4 linked regions of the Drosophila melanogaster genome follow. The protein of the gene in region 2 purifies or fractionates together with the protein of the main gene of each other region. This does not show direct contact. Each region holds a gene or a part of one and is shown on either strand. Other genes may lie near its edges.

Region 1 (5,748 bases), on a different chromosome or scaffold from region 2:
CCTTCACCTTGGGCGCCTTGCGTATGCCAGAGCGAATATTCCTTTGCTTCAGCTCCATGATTCCGGCGAGCATGGGTATGCCAAAGGCCAGGGTTTTTCCGCTGCCCGTTTCGGCTGCTCCAAGGATGTCCTTTTTGCCGTGGATTGCAGCCGGCAGCGTCAGTGCCTGGATTTGTGTGGGCGTCTTGAAGCCTTGCTCGCCGAGGGCACGCAAAATGGAAGCGGGAACACCCAGGCCGTTCCAGGCGGACATATCTTCGGCTTCGCCTGTGGAGATGGGCACTAATTCGGGTGCTTCTTCGTCGGTCGACTCCTGTTGGTCTGCCGAATCTTCCGCCTTGACCACTTCTTCTTCATCGTCCGATGGTGGTGGCCTGAGCAATGCGAAACGATCTGCCGCGTGCTCATCACTGGACTCCTCACTGTTGTCGTTTTCCTTGCCCTTCGATTTCTTCTGTTTCCGCAGCTCCTTTCGCTTTTCACGCTTCTCGCGCAGTTTCTGCATTTTTTGCGCATGACGCTCGGCCAGGCGGGCTTTTTTACTGGTCCTAGCAGCGACCGCCACTTCATCCTCGCTTTCGGATTCGCTGGAACTCTCGCTGGATTCCTCCTCGTCGCCCTTCGATACCTTCCTCTTTTTCTTCTTCAGCTTGCGCTCTCTGTCTGGATTCCGGGATGTGGTCCTCTTCTGCGAGGACTTCACCAGCGATGCATCGTAGTCCTTGAGGACCTCCAGGCCAATTAATCCCTCGAAGCCGCCACCATCGTCGGATATCACGTGGCCCTTGATTTTAACCTTCTGCCAGTTTTCCGCCTTCGAAAGTGCAGGCTCCTTGGCTGCGCCTTTTAGCAGCTTTGGTGGCTTCGCTGTTTTCTGTTTATTCTGAACCATAATTATCTATTTTAACTTAATAAAAGTGAAATAAAAATGCAGTTCAAAAAACCGCGTGTTGAATGCTGCTTCTTCTTCCCTCTGTTTGTTGACATTGGACGGGGCTGTTAAGCTCAGCTGTTCGGTATTGAACTAAAAGTGCTAAATTAGTGTTGGAAAATATGGAGGTGTGCACTCGAGCTTGGCGGTTATTTTAAATTGAAATTTTCTTTTACCCCTTGATACAAAGAGCGTTTAATTTTTGTGTGGTTTTTATTTACTGTGTGGTTTATCTATACAAATCAAGTTTAATTCGATTAACATTCTGCTCGCTCTAAATTTAAAAACAGTTAGCTTATATTTGGTTTACTGCTCGCCAGTCACGCCCAGCTTCTTCTTCAGGGACTCGGGCATTTCTGGTGGTGGTGGGCGTGGCATGCGCAGGAACACCTTGACGGCATCGTAGATGAACCACTGGGCGGCGGTCAATGTGCCGATCATCACGATCCTGGGCACCAAACCGCCCCACAATCCTGAATTGGAAAAAAGCGAATGTTTTAGATGAGGAACAGGAAATCCCATCAAATGTCAGCACTTACCAGACCAACCCAGCTGCTTGGCCACGTCCAGGGCGGAGGCACCCTTGGCCTGGTTCAGCTTGGACACCACTGTGTCCGCCGGATGCGAGACGATGGCGCAGAACACGCCGGCAATGTAACCGGCGGCGAAGGTCACCACCAACTGCTCACCCTTGGTGCAATCGGCACGTGGCTTGGGCACCACATACTTGTACAGCAGCTCCAGCGTCCGCTCGAAGCAGGCGAACTTCATCATGGTGTATGGGATCTGGCGCATCCACAATGGCACCAGGCCCTTGTAGAAGGCGGTCACGCCCTCCTGGGCGGTCATCTTGGGCAGAGCCTCGCGCAATGTCTTGGCGAATCCGGGCGTGGTCTGGATCTTGACCTTGGCCGCCTCCATGGGCGCCAGGGCGATATCGGCGAAGAACTCAGCGGATGCCGATGCAGCCAAATAGAGTCCGGTTCTGTAGAGGAATGCGTTCTCCTCGCCGATAGCATCGCCGTACACCTTCTTGAAGACCTCGTACAGGCCGAACTTGCACAGACCCTGCATCGAGTAGCCGATGAAGGTGGGTGCCCATCCCTTGGCCAATCCGCGGACGCCCTCCTCAGCCAAGCTGATGCGGAAGCCGGTGAACACGCTCTTGTACTTGGCCGGGTCCACCTGCAGGCGGCACTTGACCAAATCCAGGGGCACCACCATGGTGTGTGTGGAGCCGCACGAGATGATGCCGCCCAGGCCGCACAGCAGGAAGTAGTGGTTCGAGCCGAATTCGCAGGAGTCTGCAGAGGTATTAACAATACTTATATATCCAACTCATTGGTGATTCCAGGAGGACTTGTCCCACTTACCACCCTCGGCAACGGCAGCGGCAGCGATGTTGTGGTTTCGAGTCAGCTGGCGTGGAGCAACATCCTTGAGGGTGGGGGTCACCACCGCGGTGGATGTGGGGGCGGAAGTGGGCGTGGCTGACTGGCAGTTGACGCTAGTGAATGGCGACTTGAACGTTGAGTTCTGCGCGGCATCGAACAGGGACTTAAACATGATGCCTTAGAGAAGTGCCTTTGAAAACAGAGATCAAGGGTTTCGAATGGGTTTAAGGTTAAGGTCATGATGTAACAAACTAAATTGCAAGTGGTACCGCCTACACTAAATACATTTAATCTATTTTAATTGTTTTTACATCTATAAATTAATATTTCGTACTTTCTTTTGTCAAAAACGTTTGAGCACATAGAAGTTATGTTCTTTAATCCTGAAAGATTATACAATTATTTAAAAACTGTTTTTCTAGTATCATTATAATTTAAAAATTAATTAGCAATAGTAAATGATAAGCATTGGCAATAATATATTCAATCCGAAATCACTTCATCAAAAAACTTTTTTTATAAACTTTCTTTTTTTTATCAAGTTATATTGAAATTGAGAATGTATACTTGCATTATTTTTTACATAACTATTGTTTTTTCTCATTCGCCAAACACTTTTTATGCATTGCGTAATGTTCTCCCCAGAGTACGTATTGTATCACTTTGCGTATATTTCGAAAATGTTCGAAAACAGAACGGTTTTCAAAACACCGAGCAAACTTAAACACTCACTTCAAAGTGCGGGGTATCGAAGGAGGTGAAGTGCAGATAGGGATTAGATATAGTTGAAGTATAGAGTCGTTGTTGGGCTGAAATGTGGGGACCCAAAGCAACGTTCGTCGTGCGCCAGACCAGAAAACCAAATGCAGTGGCTGCAATGGTATAGTGAGAGCTAGCAGCTTCGGTTCAGGGTTGCCAGCCGAGTGCAAAGCCAACCGGTTGATAACGGTTTCGAAACGGTTGCGTATCGGGTAAGAACTTACACAGCAAATGCACAGCTAATCAGTATAAAGACACTTTCTTTTTGAAGATATTGAATATGTTGGCTATCTCAGCCTTATGACATCGGTTAATGACGGTTATGAAATGGTTGGGTATCGGGTAAAAACTTACACCAAAGATCCATAGCTAATTTTGCTCTAAAAGCCACCTGACAACCCCCGAATAGAGATTGTTATTTATAAATTGGCAATTCTTGGCCACCACAGCAAAAAAAGAGCCCATTGAGCAGCGTCTGGTTTGCTTATAAAATGTATAGGTGTAAAAATAATTTCATTAACGTACGACCAGCTGATCGGAGGACGAGCAATTGGCAGCCCAATCGATTCATCCGATCGCTCTGGATCAAGGTTAAGATCTTGTGGGTTTTTTTTGCAAAATTTAAACATTTTATTTGAAACGTACAATGCTATTATAGATGTGTATTACTAAAATCAGTAGTTAGTAACTCTGTAGTCTTAGGGGCTATTACAAAAAACGATATACGACATGGTATCTTACAATCAGACAAGTAAGTACATTTCTGTTGTTGGTGCTTATCAAATAAATGCTAAAAATATCGGAAGTATATAGCTGCACATAATATAGTAATACTTTTTGCAATAAATTACAGTAAAATACAATACAATACAAATACAATACATCGATCAAAAATGGCAGAAACAATGTCATCACTTAATAGTTGGTGTTCGTCTCGTCCACGGAGGCTCTAATAGATACAGATGGGCCAACAATGGAGGCCACCGCGAGCTCACAAAACACATTGCGGGTTTGGAATGCGGGCCCAGCATTCTGGACTGTCGGCAGTTGAACTGCCCATTTTGGAAACTTACATAACTAAATTGGCAAACAAGCGGACATCTTACGCTCTAAAACTTAACAACGCTATTGTGGACTACGATTCGGCAGTTTCCATGTGCCGGTGCACCGTCACTGGTGCCAGGATATAGTGTGGCCGGGTCTTATCCCCCTCGAGGGGCAACGTCGTCTGCCCGTAGACACTACCACCTGCTGGCGTTCCGCGACATGGCGAGGGCGTGGCCTGCACCTGCTTGTAGCGTTCCGTCTTTGAGGTCGGCTGATTGCTCAAGTAGGGATGCGTGTTTGGCTGCGAGGAGGACTGCTGTCGATTCGTGGGACTCGATATGGATGTGGATATGGACATGGTGTCCGACTTGCTGTGCCGCTTGTCGTGCAGCAGCAAAGGTTCCGCCAGCGTGAAGCACTGCTGATCGGAACTGTCCTCGTGCGGCGTCATTGTGCTGTAGCCATGATCCGACTCACCGTTGGGTGGCCGGCGATAGCTACTGCCGCTGGAAACGTGGTAGGGCGAAATATCCGCCGCGTGCATCAGCTGCCGCTGTGCAGATGCGTGGTCATAGCCGCCACCAAGAGGCGGCTCGTCATGCGCTTTGCAATCGTCAAAGTTGAACCTGGACAGCGGCAAGCCGTAATTCTCTTCCTGTACCGAATCCACATAGAAGTGCTCCTGCGTCTGCGCATCCAGATTGTGTCTGTAGCAGTAGATGGCAAAGCCAATCACCATGACAAGCACCACAATGGCTCCTCCTAGCGGACCAAATGCAGAGTAAGCGTGCTGCTCTCTCTGCGGATTGTGGGCGGCCAGCAGTTCCATCTCGTCCAGCTCACCGTAGGGTGTCAGCGAGGCAAGTACTCCGTTGAAGCAGCTCGCCTGGGACGAGCAGAAGGAGGTCGAAAAACTATTGCCGTCCACATCCAGCTGGCACCATTCGCAGCCCATCACTCCGAGGCATTCTCTTTGAGTGGAATACGTTTCGCATATGCCAGCAGAACCAGGACAATTCGGCAGAGTACTCAGCAGCTGTGTGGTCGGTGGAAGTGCAATGAAATGTTCACTTGGCGGTGGACAGTACGGAAATTGTCGCGTGTAGTTGGCAAAGTACATGAGGGACGATGGTGAGCTGCTGTCTCCCACCATTGGACACTCGCAAGGACACTCGCAGTCTGTTTGGTCCATTCGCTTGCAGTTGAGACACTCTCTGTCGATTGTGCTGCACGGGCAAAAGGCGCCGCCATCGCAGCTGGAGTTTAGTACGGCTGCGAATAGATTGCTACCACGGATCAGGGCAATCGCGTACTTGGTTCGCTCGCCGTGCACTACGTTGCCCAGGATGCTGGACAGAGATGTGTTGAAGGCGTAGTAACGCTGCAACGTGCGGTTTTGGTAGCTGGCACAGCCGAGTTTTCGTACCAATTGGCCGTGGTTCAACATATCGTTGGCCAAATACGATTCCTTGTGTGTGAGGTGCTCATGTGGACGTCGCTGGTTTTTCGTGAGTGTGGCGGGCTGCAACATGCTGGGGTGAGCCAACAAATATCCCTCGTGCTCGAACAGCAGACACTTTATATGCGGCAGCTGGCAGATCGGTGTGCCCTCCAGGA
Region 2 (9,310 bases):
AGGGACTCTTGAACGGATTCTGCAGGAAAACAGCGATGGGGGAAACAAAAGGACAAAGCGATTAGTTAAGAGTGCCACATGCTCAAGGGACCACATATACATATATGACAGGGTTTTTTAAGCCACCAAATAATTAGATACCGAATTAAAGCATAGGATTGGATGGTTCCTGGTATTAGTCTGATTATGATATTGTGTTTTTTTTTTTTTGGATAAAGCAACAAGTAATAAATGCACAAAATAAACGTTACAGAACAAAACTAACTACAAAAAAGGTAAACATGAGGTAGAAAAAGTTTTTTGGGCTTAAGGATGGATAGGTGGTAACGAAAAGAATTAATAATCAGAATGTACCGTCATTAATGATTCTTTCAATTGACTGTTGGACTGAGGCTACATTGTTGATAGAGAAACGGAAAAAGAAGAAGAATAAACAACGAATTACTTAGATGATACTTCAAAATTATATAACGATCTTAGAGTCTCTTGGTTATGGTTTGATTTTCAGGTGTAGGTGGATAATAAATCGAAAGTAAATTGACGAGAAACGAAATTTGGAAGTACTGAACCAATATGGGAAGAGCAAATGCCGAAAGAGCAAGCGCTTTTCTAATAGGTTTTGTGTTTTCTAAAATAAATAGCATAACTAAATCCATAAACCAATCAATGAGATGGCATGATCAATGGGCCAAAGTATACTTATTCAGATAGATAGATAGATTGATAGATAACGAGATGAGGAGCAAGTGCCTTCAAGAGCCTATTGTTTTGCATAATAATAGTGTGATAAACTTACCAAGCAGATGGTAGTTGGACTCGCGCTCATACTTGAAGGTCAGGCGACCGTACGAGACGTGGTTCAGGTTCTTCAGCCACTCGAAGAAGGAGACGGTGACACCACCGGCGTTGATGTACAGATCGGGAATGACCAGGATGTTGCGATCGATGAGGATCTTGTCGGCAGCGGGGGTGGTGGGGCCGTTGGCAGCCTCGGCAATGATCTAAAATTGATGAAAATTATTTAAAATATATATTAACCATTTTGAAACGGGAATATATTCCCATTTTTACAAGATTCTTTTGTTATATTCAATTAAGACTTTACCTTAGCTTGAATGCGGTTGGCATTCTCGCTGGTGATGACCTTCTCGACGGCAGCGGGAATGAAGATGTCGCACTTCTCGAACATGAGGTTCTCGCCCTCGTAGGGCTTGGCGTTCTGGTAGCCCACAATGGTGCCGTGCTCGTTCTTGTAGTCCTCCAGCAGCTTAGGGTCAATGCCCTCCGGGTTGTACAGAGTGCCGTCGTGCTCAATGACACCGATGCAGGTGGCTCCGGCGCGGGTCAGATAGCGAGTGGTGTGCAGGCCCACGTTACCGAAGCCCTGGACGATGAAGGTCTTGCCGCCCCAGCCGGGAGTGGTGCCTAAGAATGTAGATATTACCATTAGGATGATGCACTTTCATAACTAGACAATCATGATGCAACACTCACCGATCTGGCTCATGTAGTTGGCCTCGTTGATGAAGTTCTCCAGGCCGTGGAAGACACCGCGACCGGTGGCCGAGACGCGTCCGTGGATACCGCCCTGGTTGATGGGCTTGCCGGTGACACAGGCATGAGCATTGATGTCCAGGTGACCGATGGTCTTGGCATAAGTATCGGCAATCCAGGACATCTCGCGCTCACCGGTTCCCATGTCGGGGGCGGGCACATCGACACCGGGTCCAATGAAGCCCTTCTTGGCCAACTCAAGGGTGAAGCGACGGGTGATCTTCTCCAGCTCGTGCTCGGAGTACTCCTTAGGGTTGATCTTCAGACCGGCCTTGGCTCCGCCGAATGGCACATCCACGCAGGCGCACTTGAAGGTCATCAGGGCGGACAGGGCTTTGACCTCATCGCGTGACACATCCAACGAGAAACGGATGCCTGCAAGGGAAAAGAATTGCATAAGCACATTACGTATACGACAGGTGTGCTCAGAACTTTCGGCGACCTTGTTGCAGCTTTCATTTTTGGTCTAAATCCAACAGACAAATACAAAAATAGACGACAAACTACACGAATTCCTCGCGGAAAGCAAAAGTTCTCCTCGAATCGATGATACAACCGAACATTTCTTGGCTGTTTTACTAAAGCACGTGCCCTAAAAACAAAATCATTGCATCTGGCAGACGTGGGGAAACCTTTCGCCGATGGCGCAACAATCCCATGAACAGAAACCATAAAACCCCTCCTTGGCTCTTATCTTTATTTGCTTGGCACATATAATGTTTATATCTTTGGGAAGTCGGCGCGATTAGATAAGCCAAAATTTCGTGCTTGTAATTCGAATTTAACAAGGGTGTTTTAATTGTAAGAACTTAAAAGTGCAAAGTGCCCGCTTTTTATGGATCGATAAATATAAATGCTGCTTTATTGGCAAGAGCAAGTTCCACCAAATGGCCTTTATACATACGTAAATTTGTATGTAGAACTAGGTAAATTAATGACTTCCCCATTAGAACCCCGGGACGAGCCCCCAAAAAACAAGACTATAAAATCCAAAATTAGCTTAATTTTTGCGATTAAATTAAATGCCTTGTTGCCAAGTGGCCGGTCGATAGTGACCATGAATCAAGCAAATTTTTGGTTTCTCCACACAAAAAACAATCTCTGAATTTGCTTTTGGCACTCGAAATAAGTTCTTGACATTATCAGCTGTGTAGCATTTTTTTGGGGCCCGGCAACTGGAACTTATAAACAAATAAAACGATGAGTACACAATTTCAAAAAATTACAATTCATTATGTACCGATTGGAACTTATTTGTGTATCATTGTTTTTCAAGGGCCAGTCTGATTTTAAAGTACACTATCCTGTCGCGACTGAAGTGAATTATGATCCGGTATGCTTGTAAACAACCTAAAAATAGGTTCTTCCGTGCTGTTACTGAATCTTTAATCTTAAGGAGCACATAATCTGTGCTTTTTAATAATAAACTTTAAGATTAGTGAGCTGGTGTTGGGAAGATTGTATTCACGTAGCATTTATTAATTTAAAGCCAGACTTTCAGTTTATAATGAGTGGTTTTTGAGTTTGCAGAGCCTTTTTTTTACAGCCATTTGGCGTCTTCGCTTTGCCTTTCCGCTGAGTGAGCTAAGCCCTCATATCGAATCGAATCCCAAGTCCAGCTGAGAATGGTGCTGACTGTACCCACCGCGCTTGACGACAGCGAATCATTCTCTATTTGGCGAAGCCCCATTCTTCGCCTTTCTTTTCGCTTATGTTTACCATAAGAAACAAACAAAAAAAAACAGCAGACGAAATGCCAGAGTAACAGCACCAACCGGCTTGATCAGTCGACTTGTTTTCGTTTTTTGCCAAAAATTTTTCGAAAAACAATACAGAAAGAATGAATCTATTAAGGTTCCAAAGATAGCTGCCTATATAGTCTAGTTGGGCATGCTGCTGCTTATACAATCGGTGGTGCGATAACACATTTGGGGGCTCGATCGTGTGGCTGTGTGTGTGTGTGCCATATAGCCACGTCTATAAGTATGCCCATATGTATATATTCCCCATTGGCAACAGGCGACGATCTTTTTGTTTTTCGAATAGACCAAACCGGTTGCCTCACCAAGTCAGCTGACCAGAATTCTACGCCATATGATTAGAATGCCGCCGAGTGCAAAAACTTCTCCGAAATCTTTTTGTCAGTGGGGGCCTTGAGATCTCAATGCTCGATAAGATTGGGGGGATAAGAACGGAAGTGACGCAGATATGGACGCACCCCCAGCGAAGTTGAGTGCTAAGAAACATGCCATTTCGATGTCGATACCATCGTGATCAACTATTTAGCTGTGAACTAGATAATGGGTACAGGTTTGTTTGTTTTTTTTCCAGGGCGAGGTAAGTATCGGGGAATCAACTTGAGTGTAACACAATTAACACGATTTGCATACGCATTTTTCGAGTGCAACTCTCGACGGGTAGCAAATAGAATGGAAACATGTTTGTCAATAAGATAACTGCCAAGTACTTGTGGGCAACGCTATTTACTTGAACTAATGTGTGTACATTTGTCGCCACATGTGTATAATAAATATGTATAAATAATACATTGGCGATAGGGCCGCTTTACATTATCAGTTTTTTATTTTGTCGCGTTCGATTCGAGTTTGAATGCATCACTTGTACTTGTGGTTGAGTAAATGCAAAGCAGACCACTCAATTGACTAGACAATTTAGATCGGTTCATCGACATGTGTAGAAAGTTCCACAGTCGTAGGCCAGATCAAATCGGTTTTGAATGGACCCCCATTTGTTGAAAAAAAAAAAATTAAAGAAAACCAGCACAGTGGTGAAGCGTATGACGCATATATCATAAACTCGCAGTTTTTGTTCAATTCTTTTTTTTTTGGCACAACGTGACTATCACGTGAACAAAGCCGAACGGACAGACACCCCGGGCAAATTAAAACCAGTTCTTTAGAGGCACACACAACTCGACATTTGGACAGGGAACCAAACGAAACGAAATTCATGAGCCGGCTGTTTTTTTTTTAAAGGGGCACTTTTGCCGAAATTCGAGACCGGGGACTTGATGTATGTACATACGCAGAACGTATTAAATAATTAACAGCCAAATGGCAGATGCATCAGCGGGAATTAACATTAATTAGAGCATGGAGCGCACAAAATGGTGGCCATTAAACACTGTCCATTGATCTAGTAGTACTAAGTAAATAAATAGACTAGCAATTTTTAGCACCTTTGACTGAAATAGCAGAGAGCTGGCTATTTGAGTGAATCATTAACGAGCCATAAGGTGGATTCAATTCACTTAGTAACAGGCTGTTTACAACTTTTGGTGACCCAACTAACTAAGCCACATGATCGATCGATCGATCTATGGATCGAAAACAAGATCATAAAGTGTTAAGAAGCGTGGCAATAATCGTAAACAACAAATTTTAGGGGCATAGCGTTTTTTCGGCTGTTTCTGTTTTCTATTTTTGCGCATAACCAAGGTCAGATAAGATTCCCTAGTCGAATATTTTTCACTACATATTTTTTGTGTTCTTTTTTTTTTGCTTTTGATAAGCACCAAACTGATTCTATAATTAATAATTTGAGATGAAGCAAAAAAAAAAGGAACAGAATTCGGAACAAACAATTTTTGTGGCCTGACAACAAGGAGATTTTTTCTTTTTTTTTTTGGTGGTTAGGGGCGTTACTTTTTTTTTAGCACTTGACACACTGTGCAGTGCTGTGCTCTCATTTCAATTAGAAAGCAAAACACAAGCAAAAGTTCATTATAAATAGCACCCAGCCAAAGGAAAAACAAACAGCAGCGAAAGAATCGAAATACATTTGCCAGCTCGAAAATAATGAAATGTGCGAAAAGCGGGCAGTACATTCAGCATATGTACATCTGTTTTTGAATGGTGGCACACTTGAAGGGTTTGGAAATCTAATGCAAACACGTGTGCCCAACGTCCGAGCCTTATGCAATGCGGCCTAAAAACCCTCAAATAACAAAAAAAAAAAAAAAAAAAATGTGGAGAAAGGGGGAGCCCAGTCGGCTAAAACGTAAACAAAACAGGCGGCAGCGGTACATGCGCAGAACGTGGGGAAAAGGGGGTCTGGTCTGGTGTGGCTTATATACTGGGTTACATAACTTGAAAAATCAAGACGAAATGCCAGAAATGCCTAAGGAAAAATCGATTTTGCATCGAGCGACAACAGCTGTTCTGAGGGTTTCTTAAAACTTAAGTAAGTGTTGACAAATTTTTGCTTTAAACTTGCTAGGTAATTGCATTTTTTGTTTTAGATTTTCAAGGAAAACTGAATCATCTAGTGGTCTCTATAGGTTTGGCACTTTTGTTTGCATCCCTTTTGAAAACCTCTTAACGTCTCATTTTTTACTACCTACGTGCAGAGTTCTGACTATTATATCTTGGGTTATCTTGGATCAACACTTGCCTCCCTTGGTGGGCGTCTTGTGGGTGCTGTGCTGGGCGCGGTAGCCGGTGATCATCTCGTAGTTGCCGGCATCGCGGCGCAGGGGGAAGGCGATCTCGATGATGTGGTCGCAGGGCTGCATCAGCATGAGGATGCCCTTCACCTTCTGCTTCTTCTCGTCGCGGGTCAGCTTGCCCTTCATGTCGTCCACCAGCGATTCCTCGGCGATTTGGCAGCCGCGATGGAAGAAATACTCGACCATGTCGAAGAAGCGCGGATCCTTGGCGGTGGGCACATCCTTGAGGCGGTCGGGAATCTGGTGCTCGGTGGCATAGCCGCGGCTCGACTGCATCACAGCGGTGGGCAGTGCCTTGGCCAGCGTGGCCAGCTCCTGCTGGCGGCGGGCGCCCTGGCGGGCCAGACTCTTCAGGTGATACATGCTGCTAATCGCTTGGATTCTTCGGGTTCCAACTCTTTTTTTATTCTGTTCTACACAACCGCTCGCTACTCGACGCCGCACCAAACTGGCCGAGGCACTCGCATAGATATGTATATATATGTCGGCTTTTTCGGAGCGCCGAGCTTTTTGCTCTCCGGCGAGAGCGGTGCAAACTTTTCACCGAAAAGCTCTGTGGGTGGAGTGCCCGCTAGAAACGCGGCACCACCGCCGGCGGATTACTCGCTTCGTTGCCAGGGCGAGATTAGGTATTTGTTATCGGTTTCACGTTCACGTTTTTCTTTGACTCCAAGATTAAGCTATGATTTATCATCTTCGGCTATATGTTGAATTCAGGGGGGTACTGAGTTTCTTTTAGAAAGCACTTGAAAATCTAAGTAATAAACATCGTACAGTACAATACAAACGATATATACAAGGTATATTTTATATAAGGTGTTTTTTTAAAGGTTTTGCTAAATTTTTTATTTAGAGCTCATACTTTCAGGAATTTACCACGTAACTTTCGGGCTTATCATGCTATTGATCTTTCACACAATTCCTATGTGACTGTTTTGAGTTTTAATCCTTAGTTAAAATAGAAATAAAACACAGCTAGCTTACTTAAAAAGAAACAAAATCTTGTGGACTATATTTGAAGTACATAATTAAAGAAGAGTTTATACATGTATGGTGCTGTTTCGCTCATGGTAAATGGTGCTGAGCGAGGATCGGATGAAGGCATCGCTCCGTTCCACGAAGCCATCCAAATGGGTCCACAGGAACCAGAAGCTCAGGGAGAAAAACAGCACTTTGCTGACCCAGTCGAGGATATACAGCCGTCGCAGGACCTTCCTGGCCTGCGGCAGAGTGTCCTCGCTCTCGCCCAGTATATAGGTGCGCATGCCCACAATGTAGTTACTGATGTATGTCTCCCAATTGACCTGACCCACCGACGTGTCGAAGAGGTCCTGATCCAGGAGGCTCAGCTGACTGCTCATCTCCTGGAAGCGCTCGTTTCGGAACTCCCACCTTTTCGTTGTGTAGTACTGCAGCAGCTTCAGACCCATGGACACTTTGCGTTGGACATTGAGTAAGCTGGATGGGAATAATCCATGTGTTAATAGGAGAACTTAAAATTTAACCGTTTACTTACAATGGCTTTTGGCCAAAGACGAGCAGCCAAAAGTCGATGAAGTATGCGGGCAGATAGTGGAAGAAGATGACGCAGAAAAGGTGGTGGTAGTAGTTCTTTTTGATGGATCCACCCGGATACCAGAGCGCAAAGCTGAGCGGCGTTTCGTAGAAGAATCGACGACCCGTCTCGATGCTGTCGCCCCAGGACATCAGCGCCTTGCTGGAGATGCACAGATTGCAGAACTCAACACCCGTCTGCTTGTTACCCTTCTCCTGGCTGGCCTTTCCGCGCTGATAGCCGCACAGGATCATGCCGTTAATGGCCTTGTCTACGGGTATCACCGTGGAGGCGTAGTCCGGATTGCAGTGCATCGATCGGATGACTCCGCGGGCGGCGCCGATCATTAGGCCGGTGGGTCCATTGACGCCCTCGATCCAGCCGGGCAATGGCTCGTGAATGGCGGCCGTCACTGCAATGGATTTAATAAAGCAATTAGCCAGGAGGCACAAAAACAGAGTAGACACTATGGTATACCCACCGATCGAGGGCCTTGTGATGATTATGGGCAGCTTATTGTTGTATCTGCAAATTAAATCTTCCGACAGCGCCTTGCTGTAAGCGTACGTGTTTGGCAAGCCGTTTAGTAATCTAAAAATAAGCCAAAGAAACTGGTTATTAGGTGCCACCAAGGTACGCCTGTAAAGGAGCATGAAACTATAGGCACTTCATTATATTTCAGCCAGTATTTAGATAGCCCAAATCTTTATAAGCGTTTGTTTACTAAAAGTAAGTGCTGCTCAAAATTCATTGGACGCGAATAATAAGAGCAATAATATCTGCGGCTCAGGAAGAGCAATTTCAACCACTTACTTGGGTGTAATCTCCGCCAGAGCTTCGTCGTCCATCGTCTCCACCATTTCGATGATGGAGAAGGGGTTCTGTGGAGCCGGGTAGGCTCGCTCCTCCAGAACGCTCTCGTTGCACTGGCAGTATGAGGTGGACACGTGGACCAGAGCCTGCAGCTGGCTCATCTTCTCAGCGAGGCGGAGGACCTTCAGGGTGCCCACCACGTTCATCATGACCATGGGACGCAGCGGCTGGTCGAAGCGCACATTGGCCGCACAGTGGAAGACCACCTCGACGTTGGAGGCGAGTGTGTTGGTGTCATTGGCGCTCAGGCCAAGGTCCGGCTCCAGCAGATCGCCCTTTACCACGCGCACCTTGTCCACGATGCCGGGATTCTTCTCCAGCAGCTTGCCAAAGATCTGAAAGCGAAAACAAGAGGCGGTCGGTCATTAGTTAAGTGTCATGGCGTTGGAATTGCAATTTGGATCCAAATGGCCTGCTGTTCCACTGGCTAGAATCGCGTAATGGGCCATGTCGCTGGTTTCAGCGCCGGCTTAACGTCCAACAATTAAGAGTCATTGTAAGTTTTTGGATTTTTTCTACCAATAATGATCACCTTGACTTATAAACGCCGTGGATGTGTTTGAGTGGGTTGCATTGTGGACTCCACGTAACACCGAATCTCAGTGTCTTTGAGCTGTGCGATAATTTGGTAATTTGCGGGAGTTGCGTTTGAGGTTTTCCCCTTTTTTGCCGGAGGGCAAACGGGGTATTAGTTCAGTTATAGCGTATAATTATATAGAATTTATATCTGAGTTCACGTGCGAGTGCGTCGCGATTCGGATTCGGATTCGGAATTGTCAGGCTGTCTGAAGTGGAAATTATGGCTAACGGCCGGTGGGCAAGGCCATAATACTGAAACACTCATCGCTTCGCATTTTGTA
Region 3 (8,464 bases), on a different chromosome or scaffold from region 2:
TTAAGGACTTAGATTTGAACGAATGGTAAAACATTTAAGATCAATTTAACTATATTTACACATTAAATTAAAAGGAAAACCAATATAGAGTTACTTCTCCGGTGGCTCCTTGCCAGGAATAAACTCATACTCCTTGTATTTGGGAAAGGTTCCAATAGTTGGTCCGTCCACCTGCTTGGGCAGTGCCTTGTCGTCCTTGCCCTTGGCGTATGTTGCTTCCAATTCGGCGGCGTTGCGTTTCTTCATGTCCATAATCTGAAGATTTTTCACCAGCTCTTCGCGGGTGGGCGGCTCCTCCCGGCGCCCTCGTAGCCACGCCTCCCATTCGGCAGTCAGCTCCTGGTCGAAGGCTTCCTTATCCGCTGGCTCGAACCACCGGGAAGGCTTCCTCTTTCCAATCGAAGGATTTGCAGGAATTTCGTAGTACTTATTCCCGAAATAGTCCTCCCCAATGTAATCCCCACGAAACTGCCGCGGTCGTAGGGACTTCCAAAAGTTCTTGAAGATGATGCCGATCACATCGCGCGTCGGCTTGTTAGCCATGCTTATTTTAACTTAAGAGCGAGGAACTTAAATTTATTTTAGAATTTGAGGTTAGGTCTTGCGTTTGTTATGACATGAACAGCTGGTGGCGGTGTTGCAAAATGCCGGCAGGTTTAAAAGCGTAATTCAAATTCGTAAAATTGGTTTCAGTGGCAATGCATAGGGACTAAACCAGTCCCGCAGAAAAATTGCCATTAAATCTGTACGGAGACTATTATTGTTGTATTCCATGTCCTGGAGTACTAATCCAATGCCAGCTGAGTAAGTAAAATGCTCTCCCGAAAAACTGGAGGTGCCTATAAAGGCAACCCTATCGGTGACTAAGTACGAGTTGCAGTTAACTCTACCGCCGGAAATCCTCTCCAGTTCATTTGTGGTGGGTACAACAAAACGTCGCTGCAAGAGCAAAGAAATTGTTAATAAAATTGCCAATACTTATAAGCTCATTACCATTTGTATATCTACTCCTTCCGTAATTTTGTCGAGCGCTTGAAGGGACCTCAAGAAGTGATCCTCGCTGGGATCCGAATACTTCCACCATGAAATAAGCACCTTAATGGCCACACCGCGTTCCAAGGCAGCTCTACGCAGGGCATTGTCTATGACCGGCCAGTACTCCAATTTGTTACTCCGTCTTAGCCGAGGAGAGTACTCCATTAAGGAGAGGTATATAACGTCTGTGGCCTTGTCGATAGCCTCTAAAATGGCATCTAGCTCTCGGGTCCTTCCAGTAGCGATCAACTCTGGTGGTGATGTGGATAAATAAGCTCTCATTGTATGTTTTTTGTTGATGTTTAGCAAAAGCGGTCTTCTTTGATTGATGTGCGTGTGGTATATCCACGGCCAGCTCTTTGGCACTTCATTGCTGCCCAGGTACCAATACGCCTTGAAGATCTTTCCCAGATCTAGAGCAAGATGGGGACAATTTCTGGCCAGCACACCTAGTTCCTTGCGTTGCGTCAGTGATCGCCAGTCCATGCTAGCTGTGCCCAAGTAGAAGTGCTCCCCGTCCACTAACCACAGTTTTGAGTGCAGAAAATTAATGCCCACGACGTCGGCTGCTCCGTAGTTAGCCAAGATACGGGCATCAGCATGCCACAGGCTATCGTGGCTGCGATTAACCACAATCCGCACGCGCAGCTTGGGTCTGCCGGCATCTCCATTCGACAGTAGCTGCTGAAAGAGTTGATCTCCAGGCCCGGTGCTGCTATCGTTGACGTCCAAGCCGCGCAGTGTCCAGTGCGGAGAAACGATGTCCAACGATGCCTTGGCCCTGCCTAGTAGTAGCTGCCAGGCATCAAAGGTGCTACTCAGTTGGGGGTGGCTTTGCCATTGGCTGTAGTTCAACCCCAAGGGCAAGCTCTCCACCAGTTCGAGTTGACATGGTAACGGCTTTTCCACCGGAACGGGGCTGTTTCCGTTTTCATTTCGATGGTAGGTCTCCCAAGGCAACAGAAGCACAATCATCACCAGAACGAAGAGTATAAGCACTGGTATGATGTAGCCGTGCTTGCAGGAACAGATATTTCGCTCATCCTGGAGCCCTAGGCCGCAATTGGGACGCCGGCAACACGATGTGGTCAAAGGGGTTGGCTCTTCCGGTGCTCTGGGCACTGGCTGGTACTCTCCGGGTATCTCATGCACTACGCGACGCTCGGACATGGCAAGGGGATCAGGACTAATGCTGACTGGCCATTGTCAAACATTTTTCACAGCCGAGCCTATTTATTATTCGCGCAGTTGTGGGAAAGTATCACCCGCCCACGCAAACAAATGGGCAGTGTTGGACAGCACAGCGCGGTAGTCGTCTGCGCTGGCTGCTAAAAAAAAGCTAAAGGATAAATTAATCCAAGTCCCTGCTCAGAAAAATAAGTTGTCGTCAGTGCATTATTTCAGCATTTACTTCGATTTAAGTTTTAACGCCATAGAGTCCATTAATTCTCTTGAAGTTAATAAATGTTTATCGCTTTAATTCAAAACTGATAAACTTTCTATGGTCCTATTTATTTAACGACCCAATTTTGGCGGGAAACAAGCCGGCGGAACATTGCTGACGCGTATGCGTGACGCCAGCTAACACTGGTCGCCGTGGTAAAGAATTTAGTCTGTCTTAAAATCTTCCGGCTGAGAGGGCTGAAAATTTTGACGGCTTCGAAGCATTTGCTGCAATATCAATTTCGTCGGGTTTATTTCGAGTATCGCTTAATCAGGACGCGACCATGGCTGCGAGATTGATGAACGCCCAGGCACAGGTAGGTTCTAGAGCGGAGCCTGTGCCTCCAGTCGGCCAATATATAACCACGGCTATATATACGTTTACGTATAGAATCTGTGAATGGAACCCCGAAATTCCAAGCTGCGATAAAGACAACTGGACAGAGCACTGCGCGAAAGTTTACAAAAAATCATTGCCCATTTCTTACACACCCAGCAGGATGTGGGCAGCGAAAAATAGCAAATTTTTCGCACAGCGTTTTCTAACCTAAAATCATAAAATTCGAAGTGGTTAGGTAACCGAGTTCGCAGTGTTTGTGATTCTACAGGCCCTGCATCCCAAACATGTATACTGAATACGCAGCAGTGAACCATGCGAAATCGTTAGCTCTCAACAATTAACAGCGATTCGTGGGGGTTCGATGGTTGGCATAGTTGCATTTACATAATCGCCGGGGTCCAGTTATTTAACCAGGAGGCGAACACCCTCTAGAGCATATATCTTGTGGCGGAGGACCGTCTTATCTGTGACAGGTTTACTTACACTTTGATAATGCCAGCACTAAATATAGCTTAAAAAAGTTGCGCCGTTTAACTTGAGTATCACGCGCATTGGAGGAGTTTTGCCTTTCAAGTGGGGTTTTTCCACGTCAGCTTCGAGAAAGGTTTCACTGTACTCTGCCCATAAGTTAACGACCTATTTGACGTAATTGTCATTGCAATTGTTTCGATTTGCGTGTATGTACATACAGTCGTGTCGTCACGTGGTTCTTCTAATTGGAGTGTTCTGTAGAATATTGTAACAATTTGAAAGGCTTACAAACAAACTATATTTCCAGCTACTTTTTATTTTTTTATTCTGCAGTTCGAAGAACCTTAAAGCACTTTGGCTAGCACTTAAAATACTTTGATTGTTAAATGTAAACTTTCAATCATTTTACTAATCTCAAAAAAATATTTGGAAAAATTTCACTCTGAAGCGGTAAATGGATCAATGGATTATTTTTGGCTATTCAAAAATTTCAAGACGATTAAAATTTATTAGCTTTAGCAATATATTGATCTTAAAACAAGTGAAAGCGGTGATAATAATGTTTTACATTTGTTATATATGTATGCAAGATTAAATGTACAGTAAAGAAGAATTTTCACAGATATGGTCCCCACATGATTGTACTCTTGTCAGAATATCTTTGGGAATTATCATTTCCTGATAGAGGAATCAATTTAATTAAAGTGACGAGGACTCGTCCTCTTGACATGATAATCAAGTGTTTATTGGGCTACCAAGCGAATAAATAAAATCTCACAGTGTGCGAAGTGCAAATAAACTAGAGAATCACATTGTGTTAATTACTTGATCTTGATTGCTAAATGTACCACTTCACCATATTTAACAGTTCGACTTCTTATCTGCTTTCCAGGTGTGTCGACTGGGCAAGCATGTTGCGTCCGAAGCCACAGTGGTGCGTCAGTTCCACGCCTCCTGCTACACCGCCTCCAAAGTGGCTCTGTCCAAGTTCGACTCGGACGTCTACCTGCCGTACGAGAAGCTGAACAAGCGCCTGGAAGTGGTGCGCGGTCGCTTGAACCGCCCACTGACTCTCTCCGAGAAGGTGCTGTACTCGCATCTGGACGATCCCGCAAACCAGGACATCGTGCGCGGTACTTCGTACCTGCGTCTTCGCCCCGATCGTGTGGCTATGCAGGATGCCACTGCACAGATGGCTCTGCTTCAGTTTATCTCCTCCGGACTGAAAAAGGTGGCTGTGCCCTCCACTGTTCACTGTGATCATTTAATCGAGGCCCAGATTGGTGGACCCAAGGATTTAGCCCGTGCCAAGGACCTGAACAAGGAAGTGTACGATTTCTTGGCCAGCACCTGTGCAAAGTACGGATTGGGCTTCTGGAAGCCAGGCAGCGGAATCATCCATCAGATCATTCTGGAGAACTACGCTTTCCCCGGCCTGCTGATGATTGGTACTGACTCACACACCCCCAACGGTGGTGGCTTGGGTGGCCTGTGCATTGGCGTTGGTGGTGCTGATGCCGTCGATGTGATGGCCGACATCCCCTGGGAGCTGAAGTGCCCCAAGGTGATTGGTGTCAATTTGACTGGCAAGATCAGCGGCTGGACCTCGCCCAAGGATGTTATCCTGAAGGTTGCCGATATCCTGACCGTCAAGGGAGGCACCGGTGCCATCATTGAGTATCACGGCAAGGGTGTTGACTCTATCTCTTGTACAGGCATGGCCACCATCTGCAACATGGGTGCTGAGATCGGAGCTACCACCTCTCTGTTCCCCTTCAACCAGCGCATGGCTGATTACCTGAAATCGACAGGCCGTGCTGGCATTGCCTCCGAAGCCCAGAAGTACCAGGCCAAGATTCTGTCCGCTGACAAGAACTGCGAGTACGATGAGCTGATTGAAATCAACCTAGACACCCTGGAGCCCCATGTTAACGGACCATTCACTCCCGATTTGGGCCATCCCATCAGCAAGCTAGGCGAGAACTCGAAGAAGAACGGGTACCCTATGGACATCCGTGTAGGTCTTATTGGCTCTTGCACCAACTCTTCGTATGAGGACATGGGTCGCTGCGCCAGCATCGCCAAGGATGCCATGAGCCATGGCCTCAAGTCGAAGATTCCTTTCAATGTGACTCCCGGATCAGAGCAGATCCGTGCCACCATCGAGCGCGACGGCATCTCTGAGGTGTTCGACAAGTTCGGCGGTACCGTTCTGGCCAACGCTTGCGGTCCCTGCATTGGACAGTGGGATCGTAAGGACGTTAAGAAGGGCGACAAGAACACCATTGTCACCTCCTACAACCGAAACTTTACTGGCAGGAACGACGCTAACCCGGCCACCCATTGCTTTGTCACTAGTCCCGAGTTGGTCACCGCTCTGTCCATCGCCGGTCGTCTGGACTTCAACCCGCTGACCGACGAGCTTACTGGTGCTGATGGCAAGAAGTTCAAGCTCAAGGCTCCCTTCGGCGACGAGCTGCCCGCCAAGGGTTTCGATCCCGGCCAGGACACCTACACTGCTCCCCCACCCGTAAGTACATTTAAATTCCCAAACTGATTTATATTGTTCTTAAGAATCAATATGGAAATCCCACAGAGCGGCGAAAATGTCAAGGTGGCTGTCGACCCCAAGTCGACGCGTCTGCAGCTGCTGGAGCCTTTTGACAAGTGGAACGGCCAGGATCTGACCGATCTGACTGTGCTGATCAAGGTTAAGGGAAAGTGCACCACTGACCACATCTCCGCTGCCGGACCCTGGCTGAAGTACCGTGGCCATTTGGACAACATCTCCAACAACATGTTTATCGGAGCCACCAACTACGAAAACAACGAGATGAACAACATCAAGAACCAACGCAACGGTAGCTGGGGAGGAGTTCCCGACGTAGCCCGCGACTACAAGGCCAACGGCATCAAGTGGGTGGCCGTCGGCGATGAGAACTACGGCGAGGGTTCGTCCCGCGAGCATGCCGCTTTGGAGCCCCGTCACCTTGGTGGTCGTGCCATTATCGTCAAGTCCTTCGCCCGTATCCACGAGACCAACCTGAAGAAACAGGGTCTTCTGCCTCTCACCTTCGCCAATCCCGCTGATTACGATAAGGTTTGCGACTCTTAGCTTCTGTGACTAAGGTCATATTAACCATATCTTTGTACTTCAACAGATCCAGCCCACGAGCAAAATCTCCCTGCTCAACCTGAAATCCCTTGCGCCTGGAAAGCCCGTAGATGCCGAAATCAAGAATGGCGACAAGGTCGAGAGGATCAAGCTTAACCACACCCTGAACGACCTACAGATCGGCTGGTTCAAGGCCGGCAGCGCTCTCAACCGCATGAAGGAGCTGGCCCAGTAAATGGTCCTGGACCTACTTAAGACACCCAGTCAAGAAGCCTGATCCCAACCTTCTTCCTGTAGGTGAACACACTCAAATTCACAACGGAAGCAATCGAATTATGGTATTGTTATTCAATTCTTTTCAAATTGTTTATATTATATTTTGACTATATCGAGTGTGCAGCTTTAAAAGTGAATTATGTAGCCGAACGATAGCGAGAAATTGTAAGAGTTTTATATATATAATTATACACAATTTTATTTTTAATTCTGGCTATGCATGCGTTTCCTTCAATTTTTGTTCTTTTTGAATTTGTCCAAATGCTCTACAGATTGCCTCTACTATGAAACTGTTTTAAGTGCGAATAAAACTCAAGTAATATGTATTAAACCGATTCTTTCATTTAATAAACAACAGTTAAAACAAAAAAGCGGACAATAAGTGCCGTCAATTCATCCCGTGTCCTCTATATTTTCTTCATTATTAACATAATTTTATCAATTATAAGACGTAAGACACAACAATTTGCACAATAAAGCATAATATCAATAATAGAATCTACTGGGGCAGATTACTTAATTATTCACCCATAGCTTTTGGAAAATATGTCGAATTGTCAATCAAATATAAATTATTAGTAAATCCAATTCTAGGACTATGAAACGCAGAGCTCAAAGTAAAACTTCCGTTGCTTCCAGCACGGATTTCTTTTCACTCTCCGACAAGCCATCGTTGGGAAGAAGACGAGCCCTACTGGCTGCAAAACTTAAGCGTCAGGAACAGAGTACAACGTCCTTTGACTCCAGCACAGGCTCCTACACTTATACAGACGCCACTTCTTTGCGAAAGACCCCCATCACCTTCTCACCTAGCCCGGAGTTCATGAAGACCGCCAAGGCTAAATTAAAGTTAATCGCATTGTATGAAGATCACAAATGCTTGTGGAATCAGCGCAACAAAGATTTCTTCAATTTCGAGCTCAAAGACAGAATCTGGGATGCGATTGCCGATGAAATGAAAGCGGACTCGCCATCTGGGTTTTGGAAACATATGATTCACAAGCTTCGCTATAAAGTTGAGATGGAGCGCATACAAGAGCAGGGTGCAAAGTTTTCGGGTGAATCGCCGCAGCCAAAACTATTTTATTCAGATAATCTGCTGTTTCTAAATCACATGTTTGACCGAGAAGGGGGAAAACCCCCTCGAGAGATTGTATGTTTATAGTTAACGAACAAATCACTTTAGTATTTATTCTACTTTTTACTCAGCCAATGCATCTTAAGCCTTCGGGACCTACTCTCGAAAAGAATCCGTCTAGAAACCTGCGACATGTTCAGGAAAAACGTAAACGTACGCCCATTAGAGAAAAGATGGCTTCGCTTGAGAAGTTGAGGAATCTCCAAAATAGCAAGTTTGTTCTCTCCCGCGACGCTTTTCAAAAAATTCAAAAAATTACTAGTGGCGGTCCCTATTACTTGACAAAAACAAAGATTAGACCATAGGCCTTGATTTGAATATCTCAAAATAAAAAAATGCAATGCAAACACATTTGAATCGATTTTTCGCTTTATTACATTTCTTGTATCATAATCGTTTTGTTTTTCTGGTTTTGCCATTTTTTAAATATTGACGTTTTATATAACAATTCATAATTTTAGCTTACAATATTTTTGTTTTGTATTCTTAGAATCGTTTATGCCTTTTGCCATGAAAACACTTCTCTCTCTAGCAAATATACAATTTTCGAAACTTGTGATTTTGCAATTATTTATTATGTATATTATATATATTATATGTATATAACTAAAAATGCGTAAATTAATTTTTTTTTGTTTGTTACGTG
Region 4 (6,384 bases), on a different chromosome or scaffold from region 2:
AAACTGGAAAGTGCATTGATTTAATGTGTTAAATACATTTAAGTTTATAATAGGAAGCTCTTACTATTCTGGTCACTAAAATCTAAAATTGAAAAGAACATATTTCAGAATTTTAACTGTTTTCTTGCATCATACACAGTAGAAAAAAAATGCAAGTGACACAGCCAACAATAGCTTATTATTTAAGATTGCACCGATTGCAATCAATTCAAATTATTCGACACTTTGGATACGCTGTTCATTCATATAATCCCAGGGCCATCGTTCTTGTCTGAAATCAAATATTTTTCCAGATCTTGGATAATGTTTATGTTATTCCTGATCTATGCAGATATTAGCCACAGTTCCCCGTAAACATCGCCCCAGAAAGCTAACCTATAGATAGACATATAGAAGATATTTAAACAAATACATATACATACTTTAATATATATATATATATATATATATTTTTTATATCGGGCATCTTCGTGCATACGATCGGCACTAAAAACCGAAGGCTACAGACGAATAGCGCCCACACAAAACGTCCAAAAATAGAACAACAAAAATTCGAAACTGTGCTATTTGTTATTCCCTGATTTTCGAATATTCTGACTTGCCTTTCTAACATTCTGATATTCGGACATTCAGAAGATGATGCGAATTGAAATTTACTTGAATACGGCATACGGCATACCCGACTTTCCACCCACTTTCACGCCCACATATGTATATATCTGCACATGTCCGTACTTCTGGTCTACGGATCACTGAGCTATTTGGCCCGATGTTTGCAATAGGTTCGTAGTTGTTTATTGAACGGAGGATGTTATGTGAATCCAGCCAGATGGCAGGCAAAAATTGGAAGCAGCTAAAAAAGCGCTTACAGATGTCGTTTATATCTGGACAGAACACGCCCGTACCATTTCATGCACTAAATCCCAGATAACTCGAACTGCCCACCTGTGTCCCATTGCGATTCTGTAGTTTTGTGGTTTTTGGCAAGCCATGCATAATACCTAGACCCATACATATCACATACACATACATATCTAATTATCTATGCATACATATCTATCTATCTGCGTATCTGGTGTGTGCATTTTGCATTTCGCAGAGGTGCAGATACAAAAATGTTCTAAATTTAAGATACTTGGTAACCAAAAACGAAATCAAAACAAATGCCGAAACTTTGCGACTATATAGTAATTTTACTATTGGAGAATATTGTAATATATATAATTTTAAAATAATATTCATCGCATGTTTTTAATTTACACAGAAGTCTATTTATTTGAACAACTTGTTTATGCAAGGAATTAAGAGAAGTCTTAAATTAATTTTTCTATAATCATATATAATGTAATGTAATCATAATATAATGTAATGTAATCATATATAATGTAATCATGTATGTATAAAAATTTTTACCCAGATTTTGAGGAACTTTGAGATAGCCCAAATATTTTTTTTTGCAGTATTAATAATTTAAGAAGATACAAGTGCAAGCGAAAAACTAAAAATTTTTTTTTTTTTTTATATTCTTCTAGAATTTATATCTAATTTTATGAAAAATTTGGCAAAAAAAAAAACAACGGAAATCGATGTTGATGAAAGTACATTTTTAAAATATTGTAAGTTTTTGCTTTATTTTAATTTTATTAATACTAGAATACAGAAACAAAATTAAATACAGAACAAAATATGTTTCACTACCCTTACTTAATACAAATATTTCTTATGTGTTATGATGTTTATTAAACGATATGAAAAAATTAATTTTTTTGGCAAAATTTACATATAGGAAAAAGAGATTTTGTCAAATTCTTCAAATTGATTTTGTATGCTTCGAAAAAATAACCCAATAAAGAATGAATTAAATTCGATAGCTTAAAGTGCTGCAAGGCGCGTAAGTGTATCTGAAACTATTTGCCAAAAGTATCTGTTAGAAAGTAAAATAAAAAAAATAGCATAGAAAAAGGAGAGAAATAAAAAAAGAAAATCGGAACAATGACGAATAGATTCAAGTGTTAGACAAATGGCAATGCGATGGGGCCACCTAAGGCCGTTCGACGTCAGCAGTTCGATCGCGATATAGATATAGGTAAATAAATATATATATATATATATATATATATAGGGGGTGATCGGTGATCGCGGCGGACTGGGTTGGAGATTTTGTAGGGCGTGCACTCTGGGGTTCAAATGCTGCAACGATCCGCTGAGGAATCCAAACTATATGTGCTATATATCGGCACGAACATCTGTACGTATATATTATAGAGCAATATATGCAGGCCGACTTTTTAATGGCTGTGAAATTTATGCTCTACGATATTTGATTCCAAAAACAAATGTGTAAAATGCCGCCAACGCACCGAACGTCCGTATGCGCTATATACTTATTGTATGATCTAGTTATGTGCGTGCGCCATTATGGTCTAATGTATAGTATATACTAATATCGTATGCCTCATCTCGCTCTGGCCAAAATGGAAAATTGGAAAACTCGACGGCGGCTGTGTGCGTGTACAAGTTTATGTTTCAGCTGCAGCCCACCTGAAAAATTCACCCAAAACACATCGAACACAGCCAACACAGGCAGGCGCACCCACCACCACCCACTTGTTGCCACATCGGCCAGCGATATGTGGCATATAGCGCTGGCCTGCTCGCACACATGGCCAGCTATTGGCTATATAGAAAGGCGATCGGTGTGTGCGTGGAAATGGCTTTTCCGCGAACGCGACGAAAAATTCTTTAACATAACGTGTAGCAGCGCTTTTCATCGTCAGTTTGGTTAGTCGAACCGCAGCATTCGCTCCTACGACGTCAGCTGCTCGGACTTCAATTCAATTTGTTTTTCTCCCTAAGTAAGTTTTTTTTTTTCTGTTTCTGCTCTACTGCTGCTTCACATCTCCTTCAAATGCTGCATCACCAAAAAAATAAAAAGAAAATATAAAATAAACTTGTGTGCCTAAAAACGAAAAGAAAGTTATCGAAAACGAGAAAACCGAATCCTTTGCGAATAAACCACGAACCACGAACATCAACAAAAGAAAGTTACGAATTGGAAAATCCTAGTGTTATATAACATTTTATTTTTTTTTTTGAAATTTTTTTAAAGTGCAATCTACGAACAAATAGTGCGAATAAATGACTTGAAAGCCACCAAAAAAACGAACTCTGAAGCCAACTTTTTCAAAAAATTTTTTTTTTTTAAACTTTTTTTTTTTATTATGGCTAAAGGCTAAAAATAATTTGAAAAAATTCGCCCAGGCATTGGCGGCGCCAAAAACAATATTCAACGGCAACTACAACAACAGGATTAGCCGCAGCAGCAACAACAACAACAAAATCAAAAGCAACAACAATGCCAGACAGGAATCTATACATATAAATATACATATACATATATGTATATCTTTTTGCTTTCTGAAAGTGTTATATGATCTGAGAGGAAAAGTTCTCAAATTTTTTTCGACGAATTTTAAAAATAAATTCGATTCGTATGTGTGCGCGAGCGAGTGTGTTTTTACCTTGGCAAAATGTCCAAGATACACACACACACACACACAGAGAAACACACACACACAGATACGTAGAGTGAAAACTTTTTTCAATAGCTTTCCGCGCAGGCGCCGATCAGATATGTTAAAGATATAGTAGGCGAAAACGAGACGGAACTATAGCCACCCACACAAGATCGATGGCGAATAGAGATCTGGAGATTTTTGGAGGATATATATAGGACTATAAATGGAAACAGGGCACAGATAGATTGAATTAAAGAAAGGGAAATTTGTAGAGTAAATTCGATAAGGATATAATGACAGGATATAAAAACAGCATATGACAGTTTTATGTTGCTAGGCAGGAAGTAGCTAACACTTACTCAAACTTTGAACTTGAAAAGACAAAAAGTAAGATTCAAAACCATGTTTTTGAAACTAACATGTATGATCAGTAACATTTTTGTATATGTAAGTGTGAAAAGACGATAGACGTATATTTCTGATAGTCTGTCGGATGATATTTAGATCATTACCAGTTTCAATTGAAAAGTTTGTTCAATTTTTCCAGAACTTTTCTCAATACATTTCACATCATTTCCAAGCACTTGCCCCAAAACTGACCCAGTTTATCTAAGGCTAAAAATACAAGCTCAGCAATTGCACTTCCACGCAAAAGTGCAAAGATTATAGAAATAGAATATTCATAATCATAGAAATTTCAAATAGCATATTAAATATATAAATTCGTGGCATAATAACTGGCATAGATATATACAGGCGATCTATGAATGGCATTTGATTTGATTTTCTTTTCATTACACACAAGTACGCCCAAATATATATCAATACATATACATATATAAATTGAAAAGCTTCTTTAGATTTTCCGATTTAGTGCCAAGGTAAAAAAAAAAACGAAAATTTTCAAAAAAGGCTTTGTCCGAAGCTTTTTGATGTTTTCGGAAGCTTTCGGCTCTCGGGAAATTCAATACTGCCCCAAAGTCTATTTTTAATTGAGAAAAAATCGGAGGAAAATGAAAAAACACACATACATAGATTGGACTACGACTCTCTCCTTCGCACACACACAGTTATAGATTGTGGATATAGATAGCATGGGAAATTAAATAATTTTAGAGCAGAGCGTACGGAATTTATCGTTTATTTTTTTCTTCTTGAATTTGAAAGATTATGATGTGAGGACGAGACATTGTTGCCGGCTATAAAAAGACAGGTCGCCCTGCCTACATATACACAGCGGAATCGCATATACATATATATTATATACATATATATAGGGGGAAAGATCCGTCTAAATATAGAGTTATCGCAGGGCGATCAAAGGCTGCTTCAAGTACAGTGAAACCCTGAATAGAAAATAGACAAGGGGTTATCAAAAAGGGCAATCATTTGTTGACTTGTTTGCACACCTGTATTTCGCTGTTCTATTGTTGTTGCTGCTTTGGCTAAAAAAGGGGTTATATTTAATAAGCATTATTTTTAATATCAATTGAATTCAAAAAGAAATATAATAATGGAACACATTCACGTTTTTGGTGTCTTTCCTATTCTATTACAATGGCTTCCTAATTTAATCTTAAATATATGCATTTGAAGACTAAACTAAACTTTTTATTTTCTATATATTGTTATTGCAGGTTTTTTCAACCCTAAACCGTAGCCATGTCCGACGATGAAGAGTACACGTAAGTAGAACCCATGGAATATGTAGGACAAGATGCAAATATTAAGTATACGACGCGTATGACCGCGAACAAGATTTAAAAGTGTGTAAAGTAAACAGATAACTTAAGTAAAGTAGCAAAGTTGAAGAGAAGTATTCGATGGTCTCGTTTGAACCCTTGTTGTTATACGTACTAACTAATTCAACGATCAGATTTTTGTGGATTCTTGTAAGAGAACTTTTTGTAATCACATTTACCAGTGGCACCTATTTTGATCTGTACTCCTTTCTATCTATTTCCACGCATTGTCATCCCTGAACCCGAACCGAAAAACCGACCACGATCCCAAAAACCTCCACAACCACAACCCATGAATCTGTTCGAACAACCGCTAATGTTGTCGTTTCGTTTCTTTTGAAATCAACAACTAATAACAATCAACAACTATTCAACAACAACCACACGACAATTCAACAACAAATCAACAATATCACCTCTGCACCCGTGTGCCGTGTGTAACCCTGCACTTTCACTCCAAAATATATATATAAAAAAAAACACCTTATTCAAAAATCTTAAACCAAAAAATATAAAAAAAAACCAAAATTCGTTTAATTACGAACTCGAAAGCAGCTCCGAGGAGGAGGAGGTTGTCGAGGAAACCCGCGAGGAGACGTAAGTACATTTTTGTTGCCGATTTTTGTCGACATCTTTTGTTGGTTTTGGTGCAGCAGCCTAAAGAACTCGATTGGTGTTCACTTATGTCTATCTTTTTTTTTTTTTTGTTTTTGCCCTAACTATAACAAATTTTTTGATTTTTTTCGAAACCGAACCTTGCCCACCATTTTGTATTCCAAATTTTCTATATGTGTTGTATTTTGTCAATGTCTGCAATATAAAAAACCACCCTTTTTTTAAAATTGGTAGAAATATGTATTCCCCAAAAAAGATTTGAAAAAAAAAAAACACCCAGAAACCCGAAACCAACCCAACATTTTTGTTTTGTGTACTCGTCTGTAAATAATTTTATTTGTTTATTAATTTATCTTTAGTTTTTATTTTTTATTCTGTTTTGTGTACATTTTTGTTATTTCTTTTGGTTTTTGTTTTCAATGTGTTGTTGTGTGTCTATAAAAACCAAAATTGAATTTAGAATTAAAAGTATACGATCACAAAATCAATATCCGATAATTGTACAAAAT

The links.
Region 1: the proteins of Gdh (region 2) and Mpcp1 purify together in Drosophila melanogaster (affinity purification with mass spectrometry, with the first as the bait; one large-scale study listed by BioGRID). This does not show direct contact.
Region 3: the proteins of Gdh (region 2) and mAcon1 purify together in Drosophila melanogaster (affinity purification with mass spectrometry, with the first as the bait; one large-scale study listed by BioGRID). This does not show direct contact.
Region 4: the proteins of Gdh (region 2) and up purify together in Drosophila melanogaster (affinity purification with mass spectrometry, with the first as the bait; one large-scale study listed by BioGRID). This does not show direct contact.

The regions. Positions count from the first base shown.
Region 1 is NT_033778.4:20,277,931-20,283,678, forward strand, and holds Mpcp1 (mitochondrial phosphate carrier protein 1), read right to left. Parts: upstream 3,198-5,748; 5' UTR 3,058-3,197; intron 3,008-3,057; exon of another isoform or gene 2,914-3,007; intron 2,680-2,913; exon of another isoform or gene 2,660-2,679; intron 2,516-2,659; 5' UTR 2,498-2,515; coding exon 2,305-2,497; intron 2,236-2,304; coding exon 1,471-2,235; intron 1,405-1,470; coding exon 1,238-1,404; 3' UTR 1,136-1,237; downstream 1-1,135. Other genes in the region: CG9143 (uncharacterized protein), read right to left, coding at 1-892; CG16868 (uncharacterized protein), read right to left, coding at 4,220-5,748.
Region 2 is NT_033777.3:23,936,627-23,945,936, forward strand, and holds the start of Gdh (glutamate dehydrogenase), read right to left. Parts: upstream 6,476-9,310; 5' UTR 6,386-6,475; coding exon 5,968-6,385; intron 2,145-5,967; exon of another isoform or gene 1,997-2,144; intron 1,930-1,996; coding exon 1,495-1,929; intron 1,426-1,494; coding exon 1,106-1,425; intron 1,002-1,105; coding exon 797-1,001; intron 394-796; coding exon 355-393; intron 20-354; coding exon 1-19. Other genes in the region: CG12268 (uncharacterized protein), read right to left, coding at 7,063-7,480, 7,539-7,989, 8,059-8,168, 8,391-8,785.
Region 3 is NT_033779.5:21,166,010-21,174,473, forward strand, and holds mAcon1 (mitochondrial aconitase 1), read left to right. Parts: upstream 1-2,560; 5' UTR 2,561-2,762; coding exon 2,763-2,795; intron 2,796-4,181; coding exon 4,182-5,819; intron 5,820-5,885; coding exon 5,886-6,389; intron 6,390-6,450; coding exon 6,451-6,639; 3' UTR 6,640-7,175; downstream 7,176-8,464. Other genes in the region: Noc2 (nucleolar complex protein 2), read left to right, coding at 1-29; CG43346 (uncharacterized protein), read right to left, coding at 91-543; CG43345 (uncharacterized protein), read right to left, coding at 670-939, 994-2,205; CG31627 (uncharacterized protein), read left to right, coding at 7,279-7,833, 7,890-8,123.
Region 4 is NC_004354.4:13,598,889-13,605,272, reverse strand, and holds the start of up (upheld), read left to right. Parts: upstream 1-2,694; 5' UTR 2,695-2,855; intron 2,856-2,907; exon of another isoform or gene 2,908-3,044; intron 3,045-3,618; exon of another isoform or gene 3,619-3,905; intron 3,906-5,155; 5' UTR 5,156-5,180; coding exon 5,181-5,203; intron 5,204-5,492; exon of another isoform or gene 5,493-5,812; coding exon of another isoform or gene 5,813-5,815; coding exon 5,816-5,857; coding exon of another isoform or gene 5,858-5,861; intron 5,862-6,384. UniProt on the Drosophila melanogaster protein: Troponin T is the tropomyosin-binding subunit of troponin, the thin filament regulatory complex which confers calcium-sensitivity to striated muscle actomyosin ATPase activity.